Linked DNA regions of Tribolium castaneum. The protein of the gene in region 1 binds, or shares a complex with, the protein of each later gene. Links are inferred from orthologs where the notes say so. Each region holds a gene or a part of one and is shown on either strand. Other genes may lie near its edges.

Region 1 (4,881 bases):
GTTTGCACATTTATTTGGGAAATGTGGGGGCACTTACACGGTTATCAGCGTGCGACAATCAAGGCGACTCAAATCGCAGCCATGTTGGCAAAAATGACATTTGACAAGTTGCGCACCAATGGGGTTTGGGCACACTGTGCGCCAGGTTTAAAAATGTAACCACACTTTTCCATTTTTTTATTCCAGTGTAACAAAATGTATAAATCCTGTTAAATAATCAACATTCCGATAACAAACAATACAATAATATATAAAAATTACTACAAAAACTTTCTATTATATTTCGCTGTTAATTGACGTAACGTGTTTTTTATGTTGTCGTAGCTGGAATAGCTTATTCCAACCGCGATGGGGCCTTTGATCCAGTTCATGGACAAACCTTTGTAAAAACCCCCGATTATTCCTTCCCTAAAAGCATAAGTCACGTAGTTATGGTGGCGATTGGGCGAAATTACTATTACTTATAAATTATTTTAAGAGTTGCTCTAATTGAATTATATTTTCCTTGAGTATCAGTCTGCATTCGTCTTCTTACAATATCTAACGGATAGCTACTACACTGACCCAACATTCCTGCGATAGCCCCAAAACCGAGACTAATGACAGGATTTAAACGAGCATCACAATCTAAATTCGTATATTCTGGAAAAAAATACAAAAAAAAACTATAGTCCGGTCAAAATAGACACAAATCTCATAAAAAATATATAATTAGTACAGGTCTTAGGTACCCCACTGCAAATGAATAATATAAAAAATCCCCACCGGATATCGTTTTTTATTTTTCTCGTAAACGGTAAGTGTTATCGTAAAAATAGGTCAGACGAAAATAGATCATGCAATTATCTATAAAAATTGTTCTTATAGCTTTTTGTACGAATCACCATTTCTGAGATATCACTGATATCAGACATCAGATTTTAAAAATAATTTTTCAAAAATTAATTCCTTACTTAAAATTAATTTTTAACAGATGAAAAAATAAATAAAAAAACATCTTTTGACAACGAATATTTTTTTTAGCAGACGTAGGATTGGCGGAGATTTTTTATATTTATTTTATTTGAAATAATAATAGTGCACCTAAAACCTGCAGTAATTTTCAGCTTTATGCGATTTATTGCAAATTAAAACGTCTATTTTGACTAATTATTGCCCTTACTTACCTCTATAGAGCATTTTCAAGGTATCATAAGTAAAAAACGAGACCCCTGCATAGGGCACGACCCCCGCAATGGTGGGTATGTACCCCTTATAGAACGCTGTGATTCCCTCTTCGTAAAAAATCTTATAAAAAACTTGTCTCAAAGTCGCGTATTCCTGCTTATTCGTGACAGCCATTCGAGCCCTCGCCACATCAAGTGGGTAGGTGAGAGATTGCGAAGTGGCCCCCGCGAGACTCCCCGCCAGGAACAATTTCCTGGGGGACTTGTTTGTATTGTCCACATTGAGAATTTTCTTCCACTGTTCGTGTGCGGTAAACTGGATGGCGGCATGGGGCACAATGCGCACCATGGTGGCACTGTTGCCCCTCCATAGGGCCAGAAACCCGTGCTGGTGGTACGTTTGTCGCAGAAACTTGAACGCCTTGCGAGTTGAATAGGGTTTGTTGCTGCAGGAAGCCAGTTAGAGGGGTACCAAACGTGGGGGCTTACCTGATCTGGAAGTTGATTTTTGTGCGGTCCAAGGGGGCTATCGTGGTCTTGGCGAGGGCCCCCGCTATGGCGCCCGCACACAGACTAGTGAGGACGATCTGAGTGTTGCTCAGCTGACTCGAAACAGGGTCATGGCTTTTACGAGCCATTTTTTGGAAGACTAATCAAGGCATTATTGGGTCAACTGGAACGGGAATGAAGAATTAGAGGAGAGTCGGAGGAAAGGAGGCAAAGTTCAAAGTGTGTTACCTTTTTTTAATTGGACGGGGATTTAACAACATCTAAGCGTGGAGTGATAAGACTATCGCAAATGACGAGCTGTTTTGTTATATAACTTTATTTATTAATAAATTACGTTAGAAATGAGGCGATAAATCGATTCGTTCGGGGGGTTTACAACCCTGATTAAGGGCTCCCACTAATCGGGGCCCCAAACAATTACCTGGCACAATTGGGCGATAAAATCATCATTTTATCAGAGATAAAAATAAATAATTCATTAATGACGAGTCTGTGCCAAATTTCGTGACGCTAACTGTACTTTCACCTGTTTCACCTTGATAATAATAATACAATTGACGTGTAAATATTTACAAGAAAAATGGTAAAAATAACCCGCTAAACCCACCCCAAACCTAATCAAGCTTGTTTCAGGCCCGCTACTTCAAGGAGCAAGACATTGACGGTAGGTACCCCCGTGATAGCCCCCCAAACTAACTCGTAAATCTTGTAGAATTTCGCGAGTGTTTCTACTTGTTTGCGCGCTCGGGGCACATCAAGTCCCTGGACGAACTCACAGTGATAATGAGGAGTCTGGGGCTGTCGCCCACCATCTCAGAGCTTGCGGGTTATTTCAAGCAAAAGAACGGCAAAATGAGCTTTGCTGACTTCTTGGAGGTTATGCATATTCACTCACGGGTGGAGAACGTGCCCAAGGAGGTGGTGGACGCCTTCAAGGCTGGGGACCCGGAGGGGAAAGGGGTGATTCCGGCCAAGCAGCTGCGTCACATGTTGCAAAACTGGGGCGAGTGTCTTTCGGCCAAGGAAATTGATCGGATTTTCAGAGAGGCAAATGTTAATAACAACAGTATGGTGCGGTACGAGGATTTTGTTAAGATTGCCTGTGCACCAGTGCCGGATTATTACTAGAGGGGGCTTACCCTAACACAGTCTTTTCCACGAAATTATGTAAAACACATGTCACAAATTTTTATTTTCGGATTTTCGCACTGGGGGGTTGGCAATGATTTTTCGGTTTGGTAAAATAGAGAGCCGGCAATCAACCCCCGCACAGTTATTTATTCTAACGCCAATAAATCATTAATTGACCACAATCCTTGTTTTTTTTAATTACGGTAATTTTAGTCCAAGAATCACAAAAAAACAATATGCGCCCTAAAAAATCAGACACCCATCAACTTTTTATACGTCGATGGTGGATGGAAATTTTGACAATTGACACAATTGTCGCTCGATTCCAACCTCACTTTTGCTGGTTAGCGTTGTGTCAACGTTTTTAGTTTATTTGCGATTTTTTGCACACAAAAACAACAACCATGTCGACCGCAATGCCCATAAACCCCAAACCTTTCCTCAACGGCCTAACAGGCAAGGCTGTGATGGTAAAATTGAAGTGGGGGCACGAATATAAAGGTTACCTTGTCTCAGTTGATGGTTACATGAATTTACAATTAGCAAACACAGAGGAATTTATTGATGGGAATATGACTGGTATGTAACTATGCTTTGGAGGCGGACCCCCTTGTGTAACATTTTTTTACAGGTAACTTAGGGGAAGTTTTAATTAGATGTAACAATGTCTTGTTCATAAGAGGGGCTGAAGAAGAGGACGAGGAGGGAGAGACGAAGGATTAATTATTTAATGTAAATTCAAGTTTAAATGTACGATCGGATACTTACGTAAATAAGTATTGTAGATTTAATTTTTTACCAAATAAATCGTGTTAAAGTACTTGTTTTTTTTTCTACATGTAACGTTACGATTGTCTACCACAAAAAAAATACACAAACTGTTACGGATTATAAACAAGAGAACTTGCTTTTGAAAAAAAATACAAAAATATATTTATTTGTTTAACATTAAAGGACGCTATAAAGTGGGGGATACATACAGTGTTCTATAAATAATTATAATGGAATAAGGAAATGATAATTAAGTACCAAAAATGTAAATTAAATCCTTGTAGTTAACGGCAAAACGAACAGATAGCAGCACAACTGAAGAAAGTTCCCCTGCACTTACAGTTACCTCTCATACACCTGCTTTTGCATTTACCCGAGAGGGAGCCAAAACATACTTTATATTTTAAAAAGCATCAATTTAATTTAATTTGATAACTTTGGCACACATTGGTCACAAGAAAAATTAAAAAAAAATTAAGTGTCATCAAATGAAGAGTCAAATACTAAAAATATTTTTTGGGCCGAAGCGAAAAAATTCAAAAACCCTTTTATCAGCCAAAAAAACTGTGGATAGCAACACAATACCTAAAAAATATATAAAACTAAAATTATTGGTCAATATTTTCAGTAAAATTACAACGCTGGCTTAAATAATTTCAATTTCAAATAAATTTAACAGTTTATCCATACTTTTTGTATACAGCGAGTTCGATAAATGGACTGCCATCGCTTTACTGCGAACTCACAGGAGTCAGAAAAGTTCACTGAACGGTAAGTAAAAGTAATATAAAAATTCAAAATTTATTAATTATTTATTCATACTAAAAGTGAAAAGTACAATTGCTACAGTTGTTAATAGTAATACGACTCGTTTGCGCACAATTAGAACTGAATCAGTTGCATTAGTCACAGAACTCAGAGGCCGTTGTATATTACTCCTATTATTATAATAGTCATGTTATATAATTCCTCTCTTCTACAAGTCCCTGAGACTCTTAATATCACAGTGAGCTAAAAATGTTCAGTAGTATTTTTATCGCAGTTTGCGAATAACTATACCTTATTAATCAAAATTCTTCATCAGGTGCTTCATTTAAGAATTTTTCATATCGTAATTTTGTTTTTTCCGGAATTATTGCCGATCATTCCAATATTCCAGGGTTCTTCTAACAAATTCTCTGTTTCCGAATCGCTCATTATTCTTTATCAAAAAACACCGCTGCACTTTCAATCAATACTTTTTATCGAATTAATCGACAACTGGCAGAACACAATTTTTGTTTGTTTGGCAATAATCCATAGT
Region 2 (6,113 bases), on another chromosome or scaffold:
ATTAATTAGTTAAATACCTGGTTAACTCCAGTGAAAAAACTGGTCTTGAAGAACCTCGTAATGGGATGCGTGTATAAATAGGGCCACAGACTGTTCCAAAAAGCCGAGTCTCGATTAATAAAATCCTCGAAGAATTTTTGCCGATTTTCACTTTTGGGCAGCGTTTCGTGCGTCCAGCCTGGCGCGAAAATCGCCATTGATAAGTTGTGTCTCCTTATCATCTGGGCGGCCTTGAAACAGTTGAATTGACCGCCTCCGAAGGTATTGCGACCGAAGACATCCACCCCCACGTAAACGTCCAAAGTCCGATGCTTTGCAAATTCAATCGAATTGTGGATATTTTCCTCAGTCCATACGTAATTGAGGAAAATACCGTCACAATTATCGAAGAAAAATTTATTAAGGGGGTTGAGCTCATTTTGCCATTTCAATTCGCCCGTTTCAATGATACTGTCGTACCAGATGATTAAATGGTCGGGGTTTTGGGTGTGCGTTTGCACCCCTAAGTAGGCAACGAATTTTTTCAACATTTCGGTGTCTTGGAGCGAGTTTTCGATGTTGAGGAGCCACCCGTCGAATTGGAAAATTTTCAAAATTTGGGTCAAAGAAGTTGCGAAAATTCGCATCGTGTCCTCGTCTTTGAAAATCTTCTCGCAAATTTTTTTCCCCGGCTCGAATTCTGTTATCAAAGTTCCAAGAATTTTCACGCCGTTTTGATGCGCGGCATTTATCCAACACAAAGGTGGGATTGTGATTAGGTGGTGACTGAAGTAAACGAAAATATCGATGTGTTGCCAATTATAAAACGAGTACAAATTCCCGATGTTGCTACTTGACAAAAACCTGTCTTCCAAATAGCCACCTTTGTAGTCATGGCACACTAAAGTTTTGGGAACAAATCTCTTATCGAGACGCGTTCGTGGACCGAATTTTTTCGCATCGCAATGACAATCCGAAATTATGTTTTGCACTACTGTGGGGCTGCGCTCGGTCAAGGGCGCGACTCGGCTCACCCACTGGGGCGGGTTTTCGATCACTTCGGAGATGTTGTCCAATGATGTGATTGGAAAACACTCGAATTGGTTTAGTTTGAGTTTTTTCATGGCAGGGGGGCCGTCACTTTCTACAAAGAGATTTGAGACAACTGGAGGCGAAAAATGAGTCTTGTTACCAGTACTCATTATCGGTAATTGTAGGACGGCGGGAAACGGAAGCTGATAATGCGGGAAAAATTATTTCCGCATCCGGGGCCCCTGAAATAGCATCATAACCCAATTCTTATTTTTTTTTTTTTGAATGACATAACCTCACTTTTTATCTTATTGTGATTACGCAGTTTTTATCGTACCATAGCGGTAATAAATTGGAGCTTGTAATTTATAAAGGTTTTTTTGCCTCTTACCGTTTTTAATTATGTGGAAAATGGGGGAAAAACAAGAGGTATAACCTCACTTTTTTTGTGGATTTTTTTTTCACATTTCTTTATTATTTATTAGCCAAGATCACTGAATGTAGCAATCGGGCCATTTCACTTCGTACTTATCAGTTTTATCACCTAGTGTTTTCCCATTGATCGACTGATTAAGGCCAGAACCTAACCTCGCTTTTTGCGATTCTTTGGTGCTTTTTCCTTGATTTGGGTCAACCGGTTTGTTTACAAATAACCCGCTTTCAATGTCAGGAATTTGGGACAAAAACTCGCCAATTTTCGTGATTATTTATTAAATATTCAAACAAATAGTAACATAAATAAATCAGTTTTCCGTCGCTTTTTCGTCTTCTGTTCACCTAATCGTGAAAGAACTACGAGTTACTTGGATTTGAGGAAGGAGGAGAAAACAAATTCGTCAAACAGCTAAATCGCGGGTACTTCTTTGGGTGACGTAATCGCGTCGTTGTTGATTTGGGGCCCGTCAACGCATTTCCAAAGTCCATAAGTCTTGCCAATTGTGGTTTGCCAAAGTCTTAAAGTGCCGTCTTCTGACCCGGAAGCGTACAATTCACCGTCGGGCGAGAATTTGACACAATGGACGGGGCCAAAGTGGCCCTTGAACGATTCGATTTCATTTCCAGTTGTGTAATCGAATTTGTAGACTTTCAAATCATCGCCACCGGCGACGAAAATCGTTTTGTCGGGGTGTAGCGAAGCCGAATTGACTGTCGTAGGAACGGAAAATTCTCTAATTTTGTTTAGAGATTCGGAGTCGAGGAATGTGACGTGATTTGAGTGGGTTACTGTGAGCACGGTGCCGTCTCTGGACACCTCAAGGCTGTTCGGAATCGACGGGAAGTCCATTTTCTGGACTTCCTGCAAAAAACTGTCTAGTATAATTATGATCAAGAGCGAAAGTTTTTAGACGGCCGGTCGTAGTAGGGCGACATCTTGCGGAATTTAATTTGTCAAAGTGACATTTACATTGTCAAAGTTGACAATTTTGCAAATTTGTTTTTTTATTTTTATAACGGCAATAACCTAGTAAATATTTGGAAACATGTATCATTTATCCCTTTCGAATGAAAAATCGTCTGATTAAAGCGGAAATTACATAATTTTGTTTTTTTTTCAAACGTTTTTTCTAAGTGTTTGAATTTGAAGTAGATTTAACTCGAATCTGGTCAATATTTTTTAAAGTAGCGACCGTCCGTCTAGAACAAAATTGACGTGGTTCGAGATTTGGTTACCTTTCCGGAACTCCGGTCCCAAACCCTCAAAGTCTTATCGTCCGCACACGAGACAAGATGCGTGTCATTCCTGAAAAAGATCACGTGTCTTATCCCGGAAGTGTGCCCCGTAAACTCCTCGGGTTCTGAAACAATAAATCAAATCGTTCCGATCAGAAAAGGAGCCAAGGCGAATGCGAGGCCACCTTACTCGCTTCGGGTTTATTCAGATCGAAAATTCGGACAATTTTTTCGTTGCTCCCCGTCGCCAATAAGGCACTGTCTTTGGAAAAGTTGACGCTTTTGACGATGTGTTTATGCTGGAAGGAGTGCAGTTCCTCGCCGGAGTTGGCGTCCCAGACCTTGCCGGTGAAGTCGGCGGCGCCGCTGGCGGCCTTGGTGGCGTCCTTGTTGAGCGCGACGCCCCAAACCGCCCCCTTGTGGCCCTCGAAGGTGCCGATCCAGTCGCCGGTGTCCCCTTGCCTTAGCATGGGTTTGCCGTCTGAAAGCGGCCTCGTACGGTGAATCCAGGCCAAGGTAAATGTCGCCGAAGGTAAAGTTTAACTTACCTTTGCATGCCGAAATTAGGAAATAGCCGTATTTTGTCACCGAACTGAAGTCGAGATGGACGACGGGACGAGTGTGGCCGCTACAGGTTAAGGGGGTTTGACGAAGATTTGCCATAGTTTTCTATTTTATTAGGTCAAACGGTACAAAAAAATTATACTAAAAACCTACACACCACACTAACACGAGGAGTTCAGAAAGCGAACTGAATTTGACAGCGTCAACAACAGCTGGGAAAGTGGCAATAAGGGACGCATGCGCGGGTGTATAATTGGTTACCTACCAATCACAAAAAAATTCATAACTCGGAAACTAAAAGTCGTAGAGCAATGCGGTTTGTTCCATTGAATTCAGCGGTTCATTTTCTGTATTATACCAACTTTTCATGAGATTTAAAATTTTCAATTTTTTTGCTCAAATTTCCTGAGTTATATTATAATACACTACTTACCTTCAAAGAGATGAAAAAAAAATTTTTTTAAACTGACTTCAGCAAATTTTTATGGACTTCTACATGTCTTAACAACCCACTAAAGTTGTTAAAGGTCCACAAAAAGTCCATATGTTCAATTTTTTGATGTTTGATTTTTTCAATTATCGTTGCAGTTTTTGTCGGTTTTGGGTACCCGGAACATTTCTCGAGCAATAGCTCCGGAACTATTAGAGATAACCCCATGAAGTGTATTATCGTTGGAAAGCTCTTTAAATTATCTTTTTTTTTCAAAAAAGATTATTCTTCTCCGACTAATAGTTTTCGAGAAAATTGCTGTTAAATGCAAAAATTGGTAAAATTTTAAAAAATTCATAACTAAAAAACTATTGGGAATTTGGCAATTTTCTCGATGCCAATTGATTCCCCGGATCATTTTGCATAGGTGTGGATCAAAACAGTTCCACTTTTTACAATAGTGTTTAGCCGTAAATGAGAAAATAAAAAAATTAAAAAAAAAGTTAACACCCCCCCCCAAAATCGGCCAATTTTTAAAGTGTCTCAAAATCAAAGGAAACCCATTCTGTCTTATAGATTTTGATGTGCTCTTTACGATCGAACAAACCGTTTTCTTCTAGCTCTTTTAGTTTGGCCGTAATCGGCGTTTGAAAATTGAAAAATTATTTGCGAGATATCGCCTTAAGTCCTATGCCATTTTGTAGAGTTTTTTATTCCGGTTATCCTCCATTTTTCCGTTTCTCGATATCTTTAATAGTTTCGCCGTAATTGACGATTGAAAATTGAAAAAAAGTGAAAACGGAAACCTTTTTTTGCGTTTTTCTCGGAAACTGTAAGACTTAGAGCAACGAACAAAAAACCATCTGATAGCGCTTAATTTTGTCTATTTTTTCGACCAAACCCGGAGCCGCTCCGGGCAACGGTTCCGGCTACAGAGGCGATCAAAGTTTTTCACTAAAAAAATTCATAAAAAAAAATTAAAAGTCGTAGAGCATTGCGGTTTATTCGATTGAATTCTACGGCTCATTTTACATATTATATCGATTTTTCACAAGAATTAAAAATTTAAAAATTTTTGCCTAAATTTAGGATAGCCATTTGTCATAGTGAAAAATTTTATTCATTAAAAAAATTCATAACTCGAAAACTAAAAGTCGTAGAGCAGTGCGGTTTGTTCTATTGGATTCAGCGGCTTTTTTTCTTTATTATACTAATTTTTCACGCAATTTAAAATTTTCATTTTTTTTGCTCAAATTTCCTGAGTAAAACACTACTTACCTTCAAAGAGATGAAAAAAAAATTTTTTAAACTCACTCCAGCAAATTTTTATGGACTTCTATATGTCTTAACAACCCACTAAAGTTGTTAAAAGTCTACAAAAAGTCCATATGTTCAATTTTGTGATGTTTGATTTTTTCAATTTTCGTCGCAGTTTTTGTCGGTTTTGGGTACCCGGAACATTTCTCGAGCAATAGCTTCAGAACTATTAGAGATAACGCCATGAAGTGTATTATCGTTGGAAAGCTCTTTGAATTATCAATTTTTTTCGAAAAAGACTATTTTTCTCCGACTAATAGTTTTCGAGAAAATTGCAGATAAATGCAAAAATTGGTAAAATTTTAAAAAATTCATAACTAAAAAACTGTTGGGAATTTGGCAATTTTCTCGATGCCAATCGATTCCCAGGATCATTTTGCCTGGGTAAGGATCATAATAGTTCCACTTTTTCAAATAGTATTGCCGTAATTTATTTTACTTTTAATTTGAAAAATGGTGGAGGCGCCGAGTTATTTTTCAAAAATTCATAACCCAAAAACTAAAAGTCGTAGAGCAATGCGGTTTGTTCCATTGGATTCAGCGGCTCATTTTCTGTATTATACCAACTTTTTACGAGATCTAACATTTTAAAATTTTTTGCTAAAAATTAAGATAATCATTTCCTATAGTGGAAAATTTTATTCAACAAAAAAATTCATAATTCAAAAACTAAAAGTCGTAGAGCAATGCGGTTTGTTCCATTGGATTCAGCGGTTCATTTTCTGTATTATACCAACTTTTAACGATATTTAAAATTTTCAATTTTTTTTGTTTAAAATTTTGATATTCAAGGCTTTTGCCTTCATAAAAATGAAAAAAAAAAAACATAAAATCTAAAATCGCCATCGCAAATATGTAGTTAGGAAATCATCAAGTAGTTTCCTTGGGGGAAAGTGTACGACTCTGGAATAAGAAAGAGCAAAAAAAGGAAGCGGTTATTACATACTCAAAAGCAAAAGCTTGATGGGGGAGCTAAACGGATTACATAAAACCGGAAACGCTATAGGGGAACTACAAATAAAGATTTACAGCCGAGTCACAATTCAGAGGATAAAATCCTTTCATATAATAATCGCTGTATGAATAAGTTATGGTGGGAAAAAGAAATCTTAAATAAAAC

Evidence for each region.
Region 2: SmF (region 1) and wmd share a complex: the UniProt entries of both Homo sapiens proteins name them as parts of the SMN-Sm complex. The link is inferred for Tribolium castaneum from reciprocal best matches to the Homo sapiens genes SNRPF and STRAP.

What each region holds. Positions count from the first base shown.
Region 1 is NC_087398.1:3,705,597-3,710,477, reverse strand, and holds SmF (small nuclear ribonucleoprotein F), read left to right. Parts: upstream 1-3,095; 5' UTR 3,096-3,211; coding exon 3,212-3,386; intron 3,387-3,438; coding exon 3,439-3,530; 3' UTR 3,531-3,627; downstream 3,628-4,881. Other genes in the region: mitochondrial coenzyme A transporter SLC25A42, read right to left, coding at 261-408, 462-642, 1,167-1,612, 1,656-1,804; calmodulin-like protein 4, read left to right, coding at 2,257-2,259, 2,310-2,340, 2,389-2,804. UniProt on the Homo sapiens protein: Plays a role in pre-mRNA splicing as a core component of the spliceosomal U1, U2, U4 and U5 small nuclear ribonucleoproteins (snRNPs), the building blocks of the spliceosome.
Region 2 is NC_087399.1:1,127,882-1,133,994, forward strand, and holds wmd (serine-threonine kinase receptor-associated protein), read right to left. Parts: upstream 3,462-6,113; 5' UTR 3,346-3,461; coding exon 3,231-3,345; intron 3,164-3,230; coding exon 2,873-3,163; intron 2,808-2,872; coding exon 2,683-2,807; intron 2,309-2,682; coding exon 1,856-2,308; 3' UTR 1,706-1,855; downstream 1-1,705. Other genes in the region: ENGase (cytosolic endo-beta-N-acetylglucosaminidase), read right to left, coding at 18-1,123, 1,172-1,181. UniProt on the Homo sapiens protein: The SMN complex catalyzes the assembly of small nuclear ribonucleoproteins (snRNPs), the building blocks of the spliceosome, and thereby plays an important role in the splicing of cellular pre-mRNAs.